Linked DNA regions of Stegostoma tigrinum. The protein of the gene in region 3 interacts with the protein of the main gene of each other region in a biochemical or structural test. Links are inferred from orthologs where the notes say so. Each region holds a gene or a part of one and is shown on either strand. Other genes may lie near its edges.

The links. The genes of interacting proteins can lie anywhere in the genome.
Region 1: of the proteins of mtor (region 3) and repressor of RNA polymerase III transcription MAF1 homolog, one has a biochemical effect on the other in vitro, tested with the Homo sapiens proteins (2 studies listed by BioGRID and IntAct). The link is inferred for Stegostoma tigrinum from reciprocal best matches to the Homo sapiens genes MTOR and MAF1.
Region 2: the proteins of mtor (region 3) and stat3 form a complex in vitro, tested with the Homo sapiens proteins (2 studies listed by BioGRID, with this or other methods). The link is inferred for Stegostoma tigrinum from reciprocal best matches to the Homo sapiens genes MTOR and STAT3.

Annotation. Positions count from the first base shown.
Region 1 is NC_081355.1:159,835,037-159,842,633, forward strand, and holds the start of repressor of RNA polymerase III transcription MAF1 homolog, read left to right. Parts: upstream 1-4,504; 5' UTR 4,505-4,939; intron 4,940-7,597. UniProt on the Homo sapiens protein: Plays a role in the repression of RNA polymerase III-mediated transcription in response to changing nutritional, environmental and cellular stress conditions to balance the production of highly abundant tRNAs, 5S rRNA, and other small non-coding RNAs with cell growth and maintenance.
Region 2 is NC_081384.1:14,624,575-14,631,698, reverse strand, and holds the start of stat3 (signal transducer and activator of transcription 3), read left to right. Parts: upstream 1-4,031; 5' UTR 4,032-4,287; intron 4,288-6,209; 5' UTR 6,210-6,275; intron 6,276-7,124. UniProt on the Homo sapiens protein: Signal transducer and transcription activator that mediates cellular responses to interleukins, KITLG/SCF, LEP and other growth factors. Once activated, recruits coactivators, such as NCOA1 or MED1, to the promoter region of the target gene.
Region 3 is NC_081381.1:39,046,178-39,053,288, forward strand, and holds the start of mtor (serine/threonine-protein kinase mTOR), read left to right. Parts: upstream 1-4,067; 5' UTR 4,068-4,167; intron 4,168-7,111. Other genes in the region: ubiad1 (ubiA prenyltransferase domain-containing protein 1), read right to left, coding at 3,252-3,759. UniProt on the Homo sapiens protein: Serine/threonine protein kinase which is a central regulator of cellular metabolism, growth and survival in response to hormones, growth factors, nutrients, energy and stress signals.

The DNA.
Region 1 (7,597 bases), on a different chromosome or scaffold from region 3:
ATTCTCAAGTGGAGGGATAATTGATGACAATGCAAGGTGCACTAAAGAAACTTTTGATATCTCCTTCTAAACCCGCAACCTGTAACACTAAGAGGTGTAAAGGCAGCAGATGCTTGCTCTATTCTGATCTGGAAATATATCACTGTTCCTTCAGATTCACTGGGTCAAAATCCTGGAACTCACTTCCAAACAACATGGTGGTCACACCCCAAATTCCGGCAACAGTCAGGACTGCAGCTTCCCAATTCCCTGCCAAGGGTAAATAGGGATGGGGGTCAAATTAGGATTGCCTAAACAGCAGTGCTTGTGATCCATGAAAGAATAAAGTTTAAGCAGTTAGCTTTCACAAGTATATCATGATAAAGTCAATATTGTGTCATCATTGTTGAATCCCTACAGTGTGGAAACAGGCCTTTCACGCCATCAAATCCAAATCCACCCTTGGAGCATTCCCGTATAACCCACCCAATCTACACATCCCTGAACACGACGGGCAATTTAGCATTGCTGATCCACCTAGCCTGCACATCTTTGGAATGTGGGAGGAAACCCGCGCAGACACGGGGAGAATGTGCAAACTCCACACTGTCGCCCGAGGATGGAATCGAACCCGGGTCCCTGGCGCTGTGAGGCAGCAGTGCTAAACACTGAGCCGCCGTGCCGTCCATGTCATATTAGTGGAGAGAAAGAAATTTGTACGGATGTAGGAAGTTGATTTATTTTTCAGATTTTAACAAGCATGTTTTGAACCTGTTAAACATCAAGACTGTTTCAGTTCTCGAAACATGGAAAATAGGTTATTCAACCCTTCGAGCCTCATCCGCCATTCGTTACAACCATGACTGATCATCCAACTCAGCACCCTCTGCCTGCTTTCTCCTCATACACTTCGATCCCTTTACCCAAAGAACTGAATCTTGCCCTTTTTTGAAAATGTGATATGGAAGTGTTGGTGGATAAGGTCAGAAATCACACAACACCAGGTTATAGTCCAACCGGTTTATTTATAATTTCTTGAAAACATACAATGCTTTGGCCTCAACCACTGGCTATTGCTGTGAATTCCTCGGGCTCACCATTTTTTTGGGTGAAAAAATATTTCCGTGTCTCAGTCCTAAATGGCCTATCCCATATCCTAAGACCGTGATCTCTGGTTCTTCATTCCCGAGTTACTGGAAATATCCTTCCTGCATTTACCCTGTCTAATCCTGTTACACATTCCTCTTCATTGCCCGCTGCACCTGCTTAGTTTCATTGGCAGGTGTACAATGACATCAAGGTCTTGTTGCACACTCCCCTTTTTACGATCTACCACCATTCAGATAATAATCTACCTGTCTGTTTTTTTCCTACCAAAGTGGATAACCTGATGTTTATCCATATTACACTACATGTTTCATGTGTTTACTCACTCACTCAACTTGGGCAAATCACACTGAAGCATTTCTACATCCTCCTTACAAGATCACTCTCACACCTAACTTTGCATTCATCTGCAAACTTGGAGACATTACATTTAGTTCCCTCAACTAAAGCATTAATATATACTGTGAACAGCTGGGATCTAACCACTGATCCTGCAGTGTTTCAATAGTTTCAGAGATGATGGGAACTGCAGATGCTGGAGAATCCAAGATAATAAAGTGTGAGGCTGGATGAACGCAGCAGGCCAAGCAGGGTCTCAGGAGCACAAAAGCTGACATTTCGGGCCTAGACCCTTCAGCTTTTGTGCTCCTGAGATGCTGCTTGGCCTGCTGTGTTCATCCAGCCTCACATTTTATTATCTTGTGTTTCAATAGTTACTGACTGTGACTTGGAAAAAGTCCCATTTATCCCTGTTCTTTGTTTCTGGTCTGCCTACCTGTTCTCTATGTATGTCAGTACACTACCTCAATGTGGTTTAATTTTGCATGCTAATCTCCTACGTAGGATCTTATTGAGTGCCTCCTGGAACTCAAATGTAACTACACCCACTGACTCCCTCTTATCAACTTTACTTGTTACATCCTTGAAGTTTTGCAGTCAAACACGATTCTCTTTCATAAATGAATGCTGACTCTGTCCAAGATAACAAAGTGTGGAGCTGGATGAACACAGCAGGCCAAGCAGCATCTCAGGAGCACAAAAGCTGATGAAGGGTCTAGGCCCGAAACGTCAGCTTTTGTGCTCCTGAGATGCTGCTTGGCTGCTGTGTTCATCCAGCTCCACACTTTGTTATCTTGGATTCTCCAGCATCTGCAGTTCCCACTATCGCTGACTCTGTCCAATCCTGTCACTGTTTTCAAACTCCCGTGTTATTAAATCTTTGATAATGGACTCGAGCATTTTCCCCATGAACAATGTCAGGTAACCAGGATATAATAAAAACAGCAAATGCTAGGAAAAGAGATAATGGGAACTGCAGATGCTGGAGAATCCGAGATAGCAAAGTGTGGAGTTGGATTAACTCAGCAGGCCCAGCAGCATCTTAGGAGCAGGAAAACTGACATTTCGAGTCTAGACTCTTAGGCCCGAAATGTCAGCTTTCCTGCTCCTAAGATGCTGCTGGGCCTGCTGAGTTCATCCAGCTCCACACCTTGTTATCTCAAATGCGAGGAAAAACCCAGCAGGTCTGGCAGCATCTAGAGATCCATTGATCCTTCTTCAGAACTGTCCCGAAACACCAACTCTGCTTTCTCTTCACGGATTCTTCCAGTCCAGCTCCACACTTTGTTATCTTGGAAGCTTTAGTGCTCCCAAGATGCTGCCTGGCCTGCTGTGTTCATCCAGCTCCACACTTCGTTATCTCGGATTCTCCAGCATCTGCAGTTCCCATCATCTCTGCTTCCAGCCTTGCTGAGATTTTCCAATAAGCCCTGGTTTTGTTTCTGATTTTCAGAAGTTGCAGCTCGTTTGAGCTTTTTTTCATAATGAGCCCATGAATGAATAAAGAAAAAAAAACTTTGGTGTTTCTCAGCTCTACCTGTGCAGATTCCACTTCACCATGCGAAAAGCCTTCCTCACCATTGTGATAAGCCTCTTTAACAAACAAAGCTACCCTGCATTCTCATACTCTTTGTCCATCCTTCCTTTAAACGGAAAATCTCCCAGTTCCCATCCCTTAGCAGCGTGTAGCCACAGCTCTGTAACCCCAACACTATCATATCCATTGACATCCATTTGCATGATTAATTCACTCACTTTGATGCAAATGCTCCTTACATTAAGACACAATGCCTTAAGGCTTGTCCTTTTAATATTCTTAGTCCTATTCTCACATTACTTTGCATGGTGGCTCTGTTTGATTCATGCCCTTGAATTCTCCGCCTATCATTTCCTCTATTTTTGCCCCTCACTTCCTTCTCTTCTGTCTCCCTCTATAGGTTCCCATCCCCCCTTGCATTTCAGATTAAACTCTCCCAAACAGCTTGAGTAAATACTCCATTGAGGACATCGATTCTGGTCCTGCCTAGATGCAATCTATCTAACTTGTACAGCATCTACCTCCCCCAGAGCTGGGTCCAATGTCCCAAAAAACTGAAATCCTGCCTCTTGCACCATTTCTTCATTTGCATATCAGCTATTTCTACTCTGAATAGCATGTAGCACTGGAGCACAAGGTAGTTTACTCCTCCTGTTTCTAGTATGTTCTTAATGAATGGATGAGCAGGTTTGAAGGGCAGAGATTTTTAAAAATTCGTTCATGGAATGTGCACGTCGCTGGTGAGGCCAACATTTATTGCCCACCCCTAACTGAAGTGTCAGACACATTGGGTCTGGCATCATTTTCTGGTCACAACAGGCAACTTCTTTCTCTAATACTTAAGTGAATAAGATGAAGGGTCTAGACCTGAAACATCAGCCTCCCTGCTCCTCTGATGCTGCTTGGTCTGCTGTGTTCATCCAGCTCCACACCTTGTAATCTCAGATTCTCCAGCATCTGCAGTTCTTACTATCTCATTGAATAAAATGGGGTTTTTTCAACAATCAATACGGGTCATGATGAGATTTTTACTTCCAGATTTTATTGTACTTAATCTCGACCATCTACCATGGCATTACTGGATTTCTGAATTAACAGTCTGGCGATAATACCACCAGGCTAACGTCTACTCCTCCTTCTTATTGAACAGAGAATAGCTTCGAAGGGCAGAGTGGCCTCCTGTTGGTCCTTTGTTTGTTAAAATTTCCCTGCCCTATTAGGATACAGATTACTGACGGCACTTCCAGTCAATCAGCAGCGGAGAACCCATGTCCGTCAATGAGGGGTGGGGCGGGACCCGGGGCCGACGGCCAATGGGTTCGTCGGATTCTCTAAACGTGTTAATGAAGGGCGTGGCTAACGGTCACGGCGCGGGCGGCGATTCAAAGGTGCGGCTCCAACGTTCGCCCGGCCCCCCCTCTACGACTGACTGCGCCGGTCACCAATAGAAATAGGCAAAGTATTTACTGACGTGAATATCACCCAATCCCCTTGTGGCCGGTGGGCGGATCCCCGCCCCATAAGACCAATAGACGAGGAGATCAGCCGTCGGTAGGGGAGAGGAGCTGCCTTTAAAAGGCGCGGACGGTTGTTTTGGGTTTAAAGCGGCCGCTCGTCTAGGGGAGGGTCGTTCGATTGTGTCTGTAACGTATATATTTTCTTTACCCGGCGGGAGTACGGTTATTAAGAGTCGGTCTCGGGTTCACTGATCGTGCGTGCGGAAGCTCGGGCTGTGATGGTTCCCCAGGCCGCTCCCGGTCCCCGCTGCCCGGCCTCTTCATGCCGCCGTGCCCCGCGATCGCTCGCCTTCCATACGCGGCGTTTCCTCACCTCGAGAGCGGCGGCCACTGCCTTAGACACCAGTAACAGCAGCAACAGAGAATCCGTGTTTAGTCGGCCCGTCTCCGTTTGAAGCGGCAGAGAAAGAGAGGCCTCCGCATCCCGGACCGGACACACCGAGCTGTCAGGGTCCGCCAGGTAAGGCGCACCCCCCGCATCCCCGCACCCGGACTGGAAAGGCCGGGGTCGGACCCGGCACCTCCACTAACCTACTGGTGGTAGTAGCTTGGGGGGGGGTGGGGAAGGGGACATGGGGAAGCTGGTGAACGATTAAGGCAGCGGTGTTCTTGTATCAGGATGTGGGGGTCAGCGTGGGGCTTCGTGGCGATGCAACAATGTTGAAAAGTGGGGGCAAGAATGTTGTGGAATGGTGATGGTGCTGTAGTGGAGGGTGGGGATGTTGTTTGAAAGTGGCTCCAAGTGCCTGGCTTTCCAACGGACTACTCTTTACACTGAGTGGGTAAAACAGTGCCAGTCATTTTGCTGATGCAGAATTGTCCTCATGCAAATGACTCCTGAAAGATATTGGAGTCTGATCTTGGAAAAAGCAAGGAACAAGTCTGCAGCTCTGCCAAGATGCAGAGAATGGACGAGTTAACTATTTCATGAATTACTACTAAGTCATGAGCTGCTGTAGTGTCTAACTCGAAGTCAGTGAAGTCATTAACATGATGCCATTGTTTTGGGTGGATGTTTCTAACTGGAACTAGTAGTGTTGTGGAAAAATGAATGTTTACCCCAAGCTGCAGAAGCTGATTCTAGGCTGGTGGAATGTAGAACACCATTAAACCTAAGTTTCTCAACCCTGTGCCCTCTAAGCAATTGCTGTTGGTGTCTAGGATTAGTACCCAGTAGCTTATTCTGGGCTGCACCAGTGGGACAGTCTATCACACTTGCATCTAGCAAGTCTCTTAATGGTTTTGAAAGTGTGGGCTAGTATCTGGCAACACTGCAACTTCAGTGTTCAGGCTTTCTGAATGCAAGCTTATTTAACATAAGAACTGGATGCTGCAAATGTTAGGAACAAAAACAAAGTTGCTGGAAAAGCTCAGCAGGTCTGGCAGCATCTGTGAAGGAGAAAACCTAATGTTTTAGGTTGGATGACCCTTTATCAAAACTGGCTGGGAAAATGTCTGCAATATGCAGAAAGTAGGAGTAAATGATAGGATAGAGCCCAAAGAGAGAAACAGTTGACAGATGGAGTTGCTAATCAGGTTGGGATCGTGGCTAGTTGTTAATGGGGACTGTTAGTGACTAACAGGGTGTGTAATGGTAGGCTGGGCTGACAACCCCAGGTGTGGGGGCTGGGGGTGCTGGGACATGGGGTGTTTAGGCCCTAAAATTATTGCACTTGGTATTGAGGGCTGTGGGGTCCCCAAGCAGAAAATGAGGGGCTCCTCCAGCTTGTGCTGGTCTTCAGCTAGAACGCCAGGGAGCAAGGTGGTGCATTGCAGTGGCAGGCAACAGGTAGTTCAGGGTCTCTTTTGCAAGCAGAACATACTGCTTCTGTGAAGCAGTTGCCAAGTCTGTGCTTTGTTTTCCCCAGTGTAGAGGAGACCACATTGTGAGCAGTGAATGCAGTCAACTAGATTCTTAAGTACAGGTGAGGTGTTGCTCCACTTGGAAGATATGTTTGGGCTGCTGGATACAAGGGCAGGAGGAGGTAAATGGGCAGGTGTTGCACCTTGCCAGTTACAGGGGAGGTGTTGAGGGTGAAGGAGGTATGGACCAGGGTGTCCTGGAGGGAACAGTCCCTGCAGGTGGTGGACAAGGGTAATGTTGGGGGGTGGTGTCTTGCTGGAGGTGGTGGAAATGGTGTCTGACAGTCTTCTGGATTTGTATGCTGGTAGGTGAGGATAAGAGGGACCCTATCCCTGTAGTGGGAGGGAAGAAGGGGTGAGGACAGATGTGGGAGGTGTTGGACCCAATTGAGCTCCATGTCAACAATGGAGCAGTGGGATCCTTGTTGAGGAAGGTGGACACCTGGAGGCTCTCGTCAAAGCTGGCCTTATCTGAACATGACAGTGGAACTGACAGAATGTGATGGTGTCTCAACAGGAAGTTGAGTGAGGATGTATAGTATAGTCCAGGTAGCTGTTGGAGTCGGTGGGTTTGTAATGTAGTATTTAGCATCTTGCCAAACAGCAGTGTCCTGTGTAGTAAATAGGCTGTTATAATGCAATGCAATTTGTAAAATTTAGCTGAACCTGCACAATTTTGAGGCTTAACTTGTGTGCTTGCAGAATTTCTACAGTATAGAAATGGCCAACGCTTAGTATCTCTCTCAAAAATGTATGCTGTAACCTTGCAGTTATGGTTGGCTAATCTAATCTCCTGGACATGACAAGGTGATTTAGTGTGGTCAGTTGACCTAACCTGCACCTTTGGACTCCATTTAAAAGGAAAAGAGCACCTGATTTAAAAACCAACAGACACCTAGCCTTTGGTGCTGAGGCAAGTGCTAACCACAGTCATGGCTATTTGAGACTTCAGAATTGTTTTAATGAGGAGAAATTAATGTAGCTCCCTTGAGCCTTTATTTTGGTTGTGGAGATAATCTAGCATAATTTGTAGGAACAATAGGGACATAAGAGCAGGAATAGACTGTTCAGTTCTTGAACCTGCACTCGTACTAATCTCAGCATAAGAGGGTGCATTTAGACAAGTGGTGAATTTCCTGAAGTGAACTTGTGGAATTCTCAAACTGGAGGCTGTTTGACATCCCATTTAAATATACCCATTTTTATCAAGGCAGATTGAGTTACTGTTGCTATATCAATAAGCTAGCTCAAGACT
Region 2 (7,124 bases), on a different chromosome or scaffold from region 3:
TACCTCTGATCACCTTCAAATTTTTAGTGTATTCATTCTTTACTTGCATTTTTAATCAATGAGAAAATGGATGCCAATGAAATTTTAAGGAAACTAGCATTTTCTCCTTTAAACTTCTTTCAGTTGATACCAATCGCACCTGTTTAACATTTTGATTAGAGGAGATAGTCTTGATTAATGGAATACAATAATGGCTGGATTTTGTACACTGTAAATCAACTGAGTTTATAAAAACAAATGCTATGAATGCCTCGTATGCATTTAACAGATACTTTTTCTTTTATAATTCTTGTCCTTAAAGGTCTATAAATGATCAAAACCTTCATCAGTGTCTATTTCTAAACATTTGCAACCGAGCCTGTTTTTAATGGGAAGTATCAGTGCCAAAACCAGATGTAATTTTCCCTTTGGTAAGATTGTAACAGTTATATGTATCTCTACTTACATGTTTTCATGATGTAAGTTTGAGTTTCACAGAACTTAGGTAATAATTCAGAGGCCCGAGTTGATCTGGGAATGTGGGTTTAAATTTTACACACAACATGCGCTGACATTAAAATTCAAATGGTTAAAAAATCTAAAATTGGAAGTTTGTCTCAGTTGCTGTCATTTATGAAGCTATCATAAATTTTCATAAAAACCCCATCTGAGGGTCTTATGACCTGTGGTAGTGCCCATATCTCTGGACCAGAAGATCTTAGTTCTAGTTCTACCTGTTCTGGAGGTGAGTTATAACATGTCCATGGAGGTTGATTGAAAAACTTTTATGGTTTGTCTGTCTCCACTTATATGGTCTGGCCTGTGATGGTACCAGACCCACAATAATGTGCTTGTGTCTGAGCTACTCACTGAAATTACCTAGCAAGCCAATCTGTCGTACCAGACTGCAACATGAGCTATGCAACATAGGCATAAAGAATCATAAGTGTGGTGCTTTGTGACCATATTCCAGTCAGTATCAGTCAGTTCTGTCAGTAAAGGAGAGATGAAAAAAATGCTTCTATAATAACTGTACCAGTAAGTGTTTAAAAATGTATTCAGAAGCCTGCTAACTGCCAGTAGGCAGACAATATCAGACGAGTTCACTACAGCTAAACAGTTAAGTTTCGTAATTGTGATTGTTCATTCTAAACTCTGAACCATTTTATATCATATTGTTAAGGTCTCCTGTGACTAACCTAAAACGTAACTACTGATTATACACTGAGGCAGAAATGTCTGTATGCATGCACCCACTAAATTCTTCCAGAGAAGCATTAGCCCCAGTGGGTACTCTAATGATGCAACTGGATCTGGAATTCCAGGAAACTCAAGGATCATAGCCAGCTGTATTTACTAGCAAACACAGCACTAAAAACAAATTGCATCCATGCTGCACCTAAAGAATACTAAAAAGGTCCCAAGATTAAACATTAGAATTGCCAAAAGAAAATATGACAATGAGCCAAAGAAGGCTAAAGGAAACAAATCATAATATCAGAGATAGCAAGAACTGCAGATGGAGTCAGAGACAACAGTGTGGAGCTGGAGGAACACAGCAGGCCAGGCAGCATCAGAGGAGCAGGAAAGTTGACATTTCCGGTTGGGACCCTTCTGCAGAAATGAGGAGGGGGGAGGGAGCTGGGAAATAAATAGGAGGGGTGGGGCTGGGGAAAGTAGATAGGATAGTGATAGTTGAGTAGGGAGTGGTGGGGATTGGTCAGTGAGGTAGGAGAGATGGATAGGTGGAAGAGAAGATGGACAGGTTATGTCAGGTCAAGGGGATAAGATGGAGAGTTGGACTTTGAATGAGGCCGGGTGTGGGGAGATTTTAAAAATGGTGAATTCCATGTTTAGACCATTGGGCTGTAGGCTCCTGAGGCAGAATATGAGGTGTTGCTCTTCCAGTTTGCGGGTGGTGTCATTGTGACGCTGGAAGAGACCCAGGATTGACATGTCCCCAAGGAAGTGGGAGGGTGAGTTAAAATGGTTGCCAACCGTAAGGTATTGACGTTTGTCACGTACAAAACGCGGATGCTCTACGAGATGGTCTCTGAGCCTATGCTTGGTCTCACTGATGTACAGGAGCCCAATCGGGAGCAGCGCATACAGTAGACCAAGTTGAAGGGTGTGCAGGTGAACCACTGTCTGATATGAAAGGTTTGTTTTGGGCCTTGAATGGAGGTGAAGGGGGAGATATGGGGACAGATATAGTACTTGCTGCGGTTGAAGGGAAAAGTGCAGTGGGTGGTGGGGCTAGTGGGAAGTGTAGATTGGATGAGAGAGTCACTGAGAGAGTGGTCCATACGAAAGGTAGATAAGGTGGGAAGGGACACATATCTTGGGTTGTGGGGTTAGATTGTAGGTGGTGGAAATGATGGAGAATGATACTTTGGAGGTTGGTGGGGTGATATGTGAGGACAAGGGAGATTCTGTCTTTAGTTTTTTTGAGGGTGCCTATCACCATCCCACCTACCTTCCCCAGCCTCACCTCTCCACTCAATTTATTTCCTAGCTCCCTTCCCCCTCTCTGTTTCTGAAGAAGGGCCCTGACCCGAAACGTCAACTTTCCTTCTCCACTGATGCTGTCTGGCCTCATAATCTCAAGAGTTGATTTTAATTTTCTATTCAAATTCTGGAAGTTTGGAAAACATGGCAATTGTCAGGAGAAGTCTGACAGAGGTCTGTTGATTGATCTAATCTCTTTCATTGTTGACAGTCCTGCTGTGTTCTGACAATATATCCTGTTTTTATTGTACTATAAGCTACATTTGTGATGAAATATTCCTGCCTGCGGGGAATTTTGAGTGGGTTAATTTACTGGAACAGACGATATTAAGAACTTAATGCAAATATTGCCTCATTGGCTGCTGCAGGAGATTTAAATAACACATAACAACAAATCTCCCCCACAACAATAACCTGTTATTTTGTATCCGAACGTACTAACCTACAGTCCCGGTAAAATGTCCATCTAGCATTGCAAAAATAGACGTATTTATTATTTTTGAGCACTGGATGATAAGGTGTTTAAGAGAAGGATGAACTTCTAAATTCAGCTTGGATTGAGCAAATCACGAAATTGCAATAATTACGAATGGTAGGTATCTTCGCCGTTCCGATATGAGAATGAAATAGTGGGGGCGGGGTGATGCAAAAAGTTTCAACTTCACGAAAGGTCATTGATGACAAACGCGAATTTCTACTTGCCAACAAATGTTGGCTAGCCTCCTAAGCATTTCGTGCACATTTCTCTGATAATTTCTGATTTTCCTTTGCTTTAATGGAAATGCATGGGTACAAAGACAGGTATAGACCTGTTTGCAGATTTTATCCTCACTGCTGCGTATCACAAAAAAACCTTTCTTTGCTTATAAGGGATCATCAGCAATTTTCACATCCTGAGCAAGGACCACCGAACCCGCATGTTAACTAATTTCTCTCCACAGATGTTGCCAGACCTGCTGAGATTTACGAGCAATTTGTTTTTTTTATTTCCCATCCTGGGTCCTAACTTAGCAGTGTAATAATTCTATTCATGCAAAGGAAATTGAGACAATATTGTTAGTTTTAGTTTCAAAAGCCCATTATAATTTCAGCAATCATAATGTAGTTTTTCAAAGTGATGAGAAATATGCAAAATATTGCATTAAACCACAAGCAATTGCCTGCTTTCCTTTTTTTAAGCGTGGAGGGGAAATAAAAGGTTTAGTCATTTGATTGACAGCAAAACTCCCATCAATTTGGGCTCTGGCACTGGCTCGCAAATGTGAAGACGTCATCGCTGCCAGGAACTCAGATGACTTCGCAGCGCCGGCTGTTCCACGGAGCGCTCTATCCTCCCACCGATCAGCGCTTCCGGTGCCACGCGATTCTACAGGCGCGTGCGTGAATCCGGAGGGAGGGAGGCAGCGGGCGGCACTGCCGTGCGGGGGGCGTGGTACACCTCAACAGAACTTGCCGCCCCCTTCCTCGCTCCGATTGGTCGAAACCAAGCGGGAGGCGGGATGTCCCAGGAAACAGGCCGTCCGTTGATTCGTCGAGCAGGCTGTCATTCGTGGTCAGCACCGTCGGTTGTAGAGCTCCTGAAGGAGGGGGAGGGGATCACTTTTTAAAAAAAATCTTTTCGGCCGAAGTGCGTCAAGAAAAATCATCGAATCGACAGGTTTTTTTTGACATTGTATTTGAAGTAAAAAGTGGATCAAAGATCGCCGTGTTCGTGGCGTTGACGGAATTAAGAATGTCCCAGCCGTAGGTCGTGGTGTCAGAAAGTTGGGGTTGTCAGTCTGGAAACTTTTATTGCCGCAGGTACAGTATGTCTTGTATTCCTTTTTATTTGTAGCAGGCCTAGACACCCCGTCAACAAAATGCCAAGCTGAAACTTGCAGCAAGTCTTGAGTTACCAAGTAATTTAACAGGTGGAAATAAAACGAAGCATTTTGACAAGAGGGGGTTTGGGCCCGAAATGTTGACTTTCCTGCTTGTCTGATGCTGTTTGACGTGCTGTGTTTTCCCAGCCTCACACCAAGAGACAAAAGGCACAGTGACAGATGAAATCCTGTGGATTTTTGTCTCCCAGGCTGCTGAATCTTATCCACAATCAGTGTGACACAGGGATGTGGCAGTTACTGATTTCCAAATGGATCATGTATTGAAAGCATACAAGGCTTTTGGGCTTCTGTATTAAGTCTTTTAGAAGAGCAGTCTGTTCCGAGGGAAATGGATTGTTAACGCCTGACTCGTCTTTCTCCACCGCGCTTCCCCCCCCCCCCCCCCCCCAAAAAGGCACAAAATGTAGGAGATAGCACTTATTAACTGAGCTGTTGTTCTTCAGCGGCCGCTAACAGGAAGTGGGATGGCTGTGTTAAAGGGAAGAGTTCTGGACGCATGATTAATGTATTTATCAGTTTCTGTTGAAGGTTTAGTGCTCAACTAGCATTTTGTCACAGAATAGTGCATTTACTTTACATTTGCACGCAATAAGTACAATGTAGCAGCAATTAATCTTTGCAAATATTGTATGTTGGCTTGTAACCCTTTAACAAAGGATTATTTATGGAAACTGCGTTGTGCCATGTTTTAAATCCAAACTTGACAGTAGACCATTCTATTTACTTATGCAATTTTGATTCGGCATGTGGAGTTTTTTTTGCATTTCCATGTTGTTGATTAGCTACATCTAATTTGAATGAAACGTTAACCAGATTTAATCACAATCGATGTGGTTTATCATTGAAAAGTTTTACATAAAGGAAATAAACAAGTAAATCTGGAGATGCCTTATGACAAGGGTGGGCTGTTTGCTGACAGTGTGATGAAACAGTTCTTAACTGGGGAGACATGATGCATGCTGTTTATTGGTTGAACTGCAATGTTTTTACATTTAATTTGTTGAACTTAGATTTTCCCAAATCATTATGTATATTCAAAACAATACTAAAATGGTGGAGAACTCTGGTAACCCTATGTCTTCCCCATGATGCAGTCAGTAGCTATTTTAATTTTGGGTATTTCAATACCTGTTCTGTATTGCAATGTGGAACCAACTCTGCCACTTGTGGTTATAATAAACGATTGAACATTATTTCAGGTTTGATCATTTTGACACAAGACAATGCTGCTAGGGTTTGTTTCAGTTCTCAGCAAAATCACAATATTACTCACTTACTGATGTTTTAGTTTCTATTAGTGATACAACAAGTGCCAGACAACTCTACATGTTAGCCTCTCATAACCCTGTAAATGGATTGTTCCAAAGTCAATGCTGTGTTTGGCATCAGGAATTTTTAATTCCTGGAATATTAAGTGAAAATTCATTTTGTTTTTGAGAATGGAGAAAATATTGGCCCAGATCAAGTTAAATCTGGTGCTGTATTCAGTTGGACTAAACAATACCTTTTAAAGATAACATAATGCTTCAAATCGTATCAACAATTATTTATGAAAATGTCATGCATATTTTGTTTTTCTTGAGTCATCATTTCTTTCTGCGCACAACATACATTTTTGGGGGAAAAAAATCAGGAACACATTTTCCCTGCCTTTTAACTTTGAATTTATGTTGTCTTACTCCAGTAATTGACTCCTTTTCTGTTTTCTCTCCCTTTGATCACTTTTCTGCCGAGTGATTTTGTGACTATTCTTTATTCATTATGTTTTTAAAATTTATCCACTTACGTTGTTCACTATCAGTTCGTTATATATCTGAGTTATTTCTTTCTGCCTTTCAGTGTTAAACTGTGGTAAAGCTGCATCGAAAAAATAGAAAAATTCTGCATGTCAGCTGAAACAATCAGGTAAACTAATGTACTTTATTACTGTACCATCCCATCATGGATGTTTTTCTCAGTTCCTAGCGCTAAATATTACAAATGGCTTCAAAGTTATGTCTCTTTTAAGATGCATTAAGATTATTACTAAAAACATCATGAATTGTGTACTTTTTATATTGTAAATTTAAGAATTTGGAAAATAGTTTTGTTTGAAAGGAGGAAGTACAGTTCATAATTGTGAATTTTAAGACTGTTATGTGGGCAATCCTGGCTGAATGTAACTTCAGTTTTCCCAGATTTTAAAGCTGAATTTTAAGTAAACTGATTTTGAAACCAGAAGCAGAAGATGTAATATTTTAATTGCTTTACAAGAATGAGGAAGGATACTGCATTTTAGAGGTTATGCATTGATAGTGATTTGAAAGACCAAACTTGTTACAGTACCTTGTGAAGAGGAACATCATTGTATTTTCCAGTTCTTTAGAAAGGGGAAAAATAATTTTCTTGGTCAAATGTTTATTTTCTTACTCGTAACATCAATTGTAGTGAGATACATCACCTGAGCATAGTTTAAAAGCTGCAACTGTTTCAAAATACATAAAAAGTTGTGCATATGAAGGCTTGTTTGTTTCAAAATATCGTGATGGAAGTCTTTTTCATATGTAAATTCAAATTATTTTAGAACTTGGATTTTGAAACAAGTGGAAAGCTGGAACTGTGAATTTAAAAACAAATCAGTGTGAGAGAGTTCCTGGAGTGCAAATGAGAATTTGTTTGCATTGAGAGAGTTTTAGCAGCTGTCAGAGTACATGGGGTTGCTTTCAGCCAGAAGGATTAGTAATTGGGTTTTCTTTCACATACTGGGAGAATACA
Region 3 (7,111 bases):
GAGGAAGAACCGGTTAGGAAGGCAGAGACAGGTTGGACTGGTTTTGGGATGCAGTGGGTTGGGGGGGGGGGGGGGGGGGGGGGAGAGAGAGCTGGGCTGGTTGTGTGGTGCAGTGGGGGGAGGGGACGAACTGGGCTGGTTTAGGGATGCAGTAGGGGAAGGGGAGATTTTGAAACTGGTGAAGTCCACATTGATACCATATGGCTGCAGGGTTCCCAGGCGGAATATGAGTTGCTGTTCCTGCAACCTTCGGGTGGCATCATTGTGGCACTGCAGGAGGCCCATGATGGACATGTCATCTCGAGAATGGGAGGGGGAGTGGAAATGGTTTGCGACTGGGAGGTGCAGTTGTTTGTTGCGAACTGAGCGGAGGTGTTCTGCAAAGCGGTCCCCAAGCCTCCGCTTGGTTTCCCCAATGTAGAGGAAGCCGCACAGGGTACAGTGGATGCAGTATACCACATTGGCAGATGTGCAGGTGAACCTCTGCTTAATGTGGAATGTCATCTTGGGGCCTGGGATAGGGGTGAGGGAGGAGGTGTGGGGGCAAGTGTAGCATTTCCTGCGGTTGCAGGGGAAGGTGCCGGGTGTGGTGGGGTTGGAGGGCAGTGTGGAGCGAACAAGGGAGTCACGGAGAGAGTGGTCTCTCCGGAAAGCAGACAGGGGTGGGGATGGAAAAGTGTCTTGGGTGGTGGGGTCGGATTGTAAAATGGCGGAAGTGTCGGAGGATGATGCGTTGTATCCGGAGGTTGGTAGGGTGGTGTGTGAGAACGAAGGGGATCCTCTTAGGGCGGTTGTGGCGGGGGCGGGGTGTGAGGGATGTGTTGCGGGAAATACGGGAGACGCGGTCAAGGGTGTTCTCGATGACTGTGGGGGGAAGTTGCGGTCCTTAAAGAACTTGGACATCTGGGATGTGCGGGAGTGGAATGTCTTATCGTGGGAGCAGATGCGGCGGAGGCGGAGGAATTGGGAATAGGGGATGGAATTTTTGCAGGAGGGTGGGTGGGAGGAGGTGTATTCTAGGTAGCTGTGGGAGTCGGTGGGCTTGAAATGGACATCAGTTACAAGCTGGTTGCCTGAGATGGAGACAGAGGTCCAGGAAGGTGAGGGATGTGCTGGAGATGGCCCAGTTGAACTGAAGATTGGGGTGGAAGGTGTTGGTGAAGTGGATGAACTGTTCGAGCTCCTCTGGGGAGCAAGAGGCGGCGCCGATACAGTCATCAATGTACCGGAGGAAGAGGTGGGGTTTGGGGCCTGTGTAGGTGCGGAAGAGGGACTGTTCCACATAACCTACAAAGAGGCAGGCATAGCTGGGGCCCATGGCCACCCCCTTAGTCTGTAGGAAGTGGGAGGAGTCAAAAGAGAAGTTGTTGAGTGTGAGGACGAGTTCAGCTAGGCGGATGAGAGTGTCAGTGGAGGGGGACTGGTCGAGCCTGCAGGACAGGAAGAAGCGGAGGGCCTTGAGGCCATCTCCATGCGGAATGCAGGTGTACAGGGACTGGACGTCCATGGTGAATATGAGGTGTTGGGGGCCAGGGAATTGGAAGTCCTGGAGGAGGTGGAGGGCGTGGGTGGTGTCACGGACGTAGGTGGGGAGTTCCTGGACCAAAGGGGAGAAAATGGAGTCCAGATAGGTGGAGATGAATTCGGTGGGGCAGGAGCAGGCTGAGACGATGGGTCGACCAGGGCAGGCAGGTTTGTGGATTTTGGGAAGGAGATAGAAACAGGCCGTGCGGGGTTGGGGAACAATGAGGTTGGAGGCTGTGGGTGGGAGGTCCCCTGAGGTGATGAGGTCGTGAATGGTGTTGGAGATGATGGTTTGGTGCTCGGGTGTGGGGTCATGATCGAGGGGGCGGTAGGAGATGTCATTATTACTACTTTCCAGTTCATGAAAAGGTGTCATTATTACTACTTTCCAGTTCATGAAAATTTCTGCTGTTTGCTCTTCTACCTCCTTTGGTCTGGTGCCTAGTATATACACTTGGCAGCAAGCCGTGCCTCAATTCTATGAAAAGACTATCCTAAATCCATGTGCGTCATGCCTTTCTAGAGAGTGAAATAATTTGTTTGATCAATACTGCCACCTCCCTCTTGTCTTTTTTCTTATTCTATTTTTCAGAATACCTCTTAGCCCAGAATTTGAAGTTTTCAAGCCTCTCCTCCTTTGAATCAGGTATGTTACTCTCAGCTTACTATGGGATGTGAGACAATTTCTCTTACAATTAAATGTAGAAAAATGTGTTATTATGCAGAATTTGCCTTTTAATCACAAGAATAATTACAGAAAAAAAGGCAATTGTCAGTTAAACTACGAGATAGAAATTGGTCATTCTTAACAATAGACATATTTGAGCCATTCTGCATCTCATTTCCTTCTGTGGCAATAGGTAACAAAGTCAAACTAGGGAAGTTACAAATGAAAACAAGCAAAGGAGACAGCAACATTATTTGCCAATCACTATTTCTTTTGAAATAAAAATAATTCAGCTCTGATGAAAATTGTCTCTCTCTCACATTCATACTGATTTACCCACACAGTTTCAGATTTCCAAAATTCATATTTTTAAAAACACATCAAGTTAATACATGTGGTTTTCAGATAGCTTATTAGGCATCTAGGCATGAACAGAAACCAGCCGTATCACTTTCAAAACTATTTTTCCAAAACAGCAAGCAGCAAAAGTGAGTTAATAGAAATGGATGGATAGAGGATAGAGGGGTCTTTTCCCTACTGTTGGGGAGTTCAAAACTAGAGGGCGTAGATTTAAGGTGATAGGGGAAAGAGTTAAGAGTACCTAAGGCATAACTTTTTCACGCAGAGTGGTGCGGAGTTACCAGTGCAAGTAGAGAAAGCAGGTACAATTACAACATTTAAAAGGCATCTGGATGGGTGTGTGAGTAAGAGTTTAGAGGGATATGAGCTAAATGCTGGCAAATAGGACTAAATCAGATTGAGATGTTTGGTTGACGCAACACAAGTTGGACCGAAGGATCTGTTTTTGTTCTGCATGACTCTATAACAAAACAACACAACGACAAAATATTACAATTAACAACTGCTCATGCTGGAAATCTGAGACAAAAAGAGAAATTGCCAGAGCAATTCAACAAGTCTCGTAGTATTTGCGGAGCGAAAACAGAGTTATCTCTTCGAGCCTGGCGATTCTTCTTCAGAGCAAAATAAGTGAATCGTCTCCAGCTAAAGGTCTAAACTGAAATAAGGGAACATCCTGCTTCTTTTCCTTCTTACTTACCTCCCGTGTACAGAAAAGAGCTGGATAGGCCACCGAAAAAGATCAGAGCTAAGTGCTCAAGTTTGAGTTTGCACAAAAAGTAGAGGGAACAGGCGCAGAGGCAGCCCAGAGTGTAGAGGCAGGCTCCGAACCGCACCACGTCCTGTGGCTCTAGGATCCGGTCCACCAGGGTCCGGTCGTCGCTCTTCTTATGATCGATGCCCCTGCTGAAGTCGTAATAAGTGTTCACTAGGTTACCGGCTGCGTGTACGGCCAGCACGGCCAAGGCAGCCAGTAGGGAAATGGTCAGATCGAGCTCGCCCAGATTCTTGTAAGCCAGGGCCGTACCCAGGGCAACAGGGGTAAGCGAGGCGCTGAAGCTCCAGGGCCGCAGTGCAAGCACATACGCGGCGCACTTCTGCTTCAAGCTCCTGCCGAGACCCTGCACCACTTCCCTGTCCACAGCGGGGATCTGCATTCTCGACTCGGCGTCCACTTCCATCTGCTTAGCCTCCCCATTCTCTTTCATCCTCGGCCCGTCTCACCTACTCTCCAGTAATCACCGGCTGACAACCGCCATCTGCCAACAAGCCCACATCGCAGGAAAGTCACGACCTCAAACCGACATGCTACACATGCGCAAATGCTCAACCGTCTGGAGAGTGGGAGGAGACCGGTCCGCGCGACTGTAACGGAATTCCTCGCGCACACCCACATGCGCATTGATGACTGCGACTCGCTTTCACTAACGTCATGGTGAGCCGCCCTCCAGCACATGGTAGCGCACCTGATTGGTTCACACAGATGTCAATCACCTGCGCGCTGTGCCTGAAGATCATTTTATTTCCTTTCAATATGGCAGCTTATATGGAGTAGAATTGTCAATTTACTTTGAAGTGAAGAATTTATGCTTTATTTATTGTAATACAACAAGAGAGTAAGTATACTTGGATGGTTATCCGTTATGATTATTTAAGTGTAAAATTCCAAGCGGCTAGGTTATAAAAATATCTTTCGGTGCTATTTGTAAGTTTTCTGGTGTATGTTCCAGAATTGAAGTTTGATAGATTTTGGGTTTATTATCATTTATAATTCATTGTCAGACAGTATCTCTAACTGATGAGCAAAGAAACGCATTTCAGAAAAAAAACTCCAGCATTTAGACAGAACGTAACACCCCAACAAGCAGCCTGATTGCAAAAACAGAAAATGCTAGAAAAAGCTCAGCAGATCTGGCAGCATCGGTGGAGAGAAATCAGACCCAGTGTTTCGGATCGAGTGATCCTTCTTCGGAACTCGACCCGAAACGTTAACTCTGATTTCTCACCGCAGATGCTGCCAGACCTGCTGAGCTTTTTCAGCAATTTCTATTTTAGTTTCTGATTTACAGCATTCGCAGTTCTTTCGATTTTTAAATAGCTTGGTTACCTATGGTAGATCATCTGTTTCACAGAAATAGAAAACATTACCATAATTCAATAAAGACACGAGGACATTCTGAGTGTTCTATTTACACATTAGAGGCGAAAAATGTGAAAAGGTGTTTTTTTTTTAAACAGGGGTGTATACTATTACTTTTAATGAGTCCGATAGGCCTGTTATTTCAAAATCTTTTATATATTTGGAACATGTCTGTTGGTTGGTTTTAACATTTATTTTCTAAGTTGCAAACTTATCTCTAATAGCTTTTTTGTCCTTATTTAAAGACTGCTTAGCCAAATATAAGACTCTTTTGAGACAAGCTTTCTCTTTGTTAAACTACATTTGTGAGATGAACAAGGTAGAAGGAAAAAAAAATTGAGAGACAGTGGCATTCCTGGCAATATAAATACTTTGAATTGTTGTAACTCTACTTCATGATGCTCCTTTATAGATCCTTACAAGTCCTACTGCAGCAAATTAAAGGATGGTGTTCTTATGAAGTGCCTTGGGACAATTATATTAGACACTGCTTAAAAGTTATTGTTTCTTGACTTTCTGTTGGTCTGTTTGATCTGTGTCACCTTTTGAGGGCTTGATTGGTTAGCGGGTGACATGATCATTTGAGGGGAGGCAGCAACATTGTGTTCATGTCACTGGCCTGGTAATTAAAAAAATGTTGTAAAATCCAGCTGACTGAAACCCCTCACCCACAACGTTCACCTGCAAGAGTGGCTTGGCAGTAGTATGACTGAGTTGGATGGGTCCAAAAGGACGTAGCTGCTAGATTGGGTCTGCAGCAGGCGGTGACGGAACCAACAAGAGGGGGAAAAATGCCTTGACCTTGTGCTTACCAATCTGTCAGCTACAGATGTATTGGCCCGTGACAGTATTGGTAAGAGTGACCACCTCACAGTTCTTTGGGAGGCGAAGTCCTGCGATCATGTTGAGAATAACACATTGTGTGGCACCGCCATTGTGCTAAGTGGGACAGACTTCAAACAGATCTAGCAACTCAAGACTGGGCATTCATTAGGCACTGATAATGGGAACTGCAGATGCTGGAGAATCCAAGATAACAAAGTGTGGAGCTGGATGAACACAACAGGCCAAGCAGCATCTCAGGAGCACAAAAGCTGACGTTTCGGGCCTAGACCCTTCATCAGGGAGGGGGATGGGGAGAGGGAACTGGAAATAAATAGGGAGAGAGGGGAATGCGGACCGAAGATGGAGAGAACACAAGATAGGTAGAGAGGGGAGTATAGGTGAGGAGGTGGGGAGGGGATTGGTCAGTCCAGGAGGCGGGATGAAGTGGTAGGTAGGAAATGGAGGTGCAGCTTGAGGTGGGAGGAAGGGATGGGTGAGAGGAAGAACAGGTTAGGGAAACAGAGACAGGCTGGGCTGGTTTTGGATGCAGTGGGGGGAGGGGATGAGCTGGGCTGGTTTTGGGTGCGAACCCAGCGGAGGTGTTCTGCAAAGCGGTCCCCAAGCCTCCGCTTGGTTTCCCCAATGTAGAGGAAGCCACACCGGGTGCAATGGATACAATATACCACGTTGGCAGATGTGCAGGTGAACATCTGCTTGATATGGAAGGTCATCTTGGGGCCTGGGATAGGGGTGAGGGAGGAGGTGTGGGGGCAAGTGTAGCACTTCCTGCGGTTGCAGGGTAAGGTGCCAAGTGTGGTGGGGTTGGAGGGGAGTGTGGAGCGGACAAAGGAGTCGCGGAGAGAGTGGTCTCTCCGGAAGGCAGATAAGGGTGTGGATGGAAAAATAGCTTGGGTGGTGGGGTCGGATTGCAGATGGCGGAAGTGACGGAGGATGATACGTTGGTTGGTGGGGTGGTATGTGAGAATGAGGGGGATCCTCTGGGCACGGTTGTGGCAGGGGCGGGGTGTGAGGAATGTGTTGCAGGAAATGCGGGAGACGCGGTCAAGGGCGTTCTAAACCACTGAGGGGGGAAAGTTGCAGTCCTTGAAGAACATGACATCTGGGATGTGCGGGAGTGGAATGCCTCATCTTGGGAGCAGATGTGGTGGAGGCGGAGGAATTGGGAATAGGGGATGGAATTTTTGCTGGAGGGTGGGTGGGAGGAGATGTATTCTAGGTAGCTGTGGGAGTCAGTGGGCTTGAAATGGACATCAGTTTCTAGCTGGTTACCTGAGATGGAGACTGAGAGGCCCAGGAAGGTGAGGGATGTGTTGGAGATGGCCCAGGTGAACTTGAGGTTGGGGTAGAAGGTGTTGGTAAAGTGGATGAACTGTTCGAGCTCCTCTGGGGAACAAGAGGCAGCGCCGATACATTCATCAATGTAACGGAGGAAGAGGTGTGGTTTGGGGACCTACACAGGTCAAGCACAAGAGTGCAGAAGATAAAGCTGAAGTATTTGCAGCAATTTTCAGCTAGAAGTTCCGTGTGAGTGATCCATCTCTGCCTCCTGCAGTGGTCCCCACCATCACAGTTTA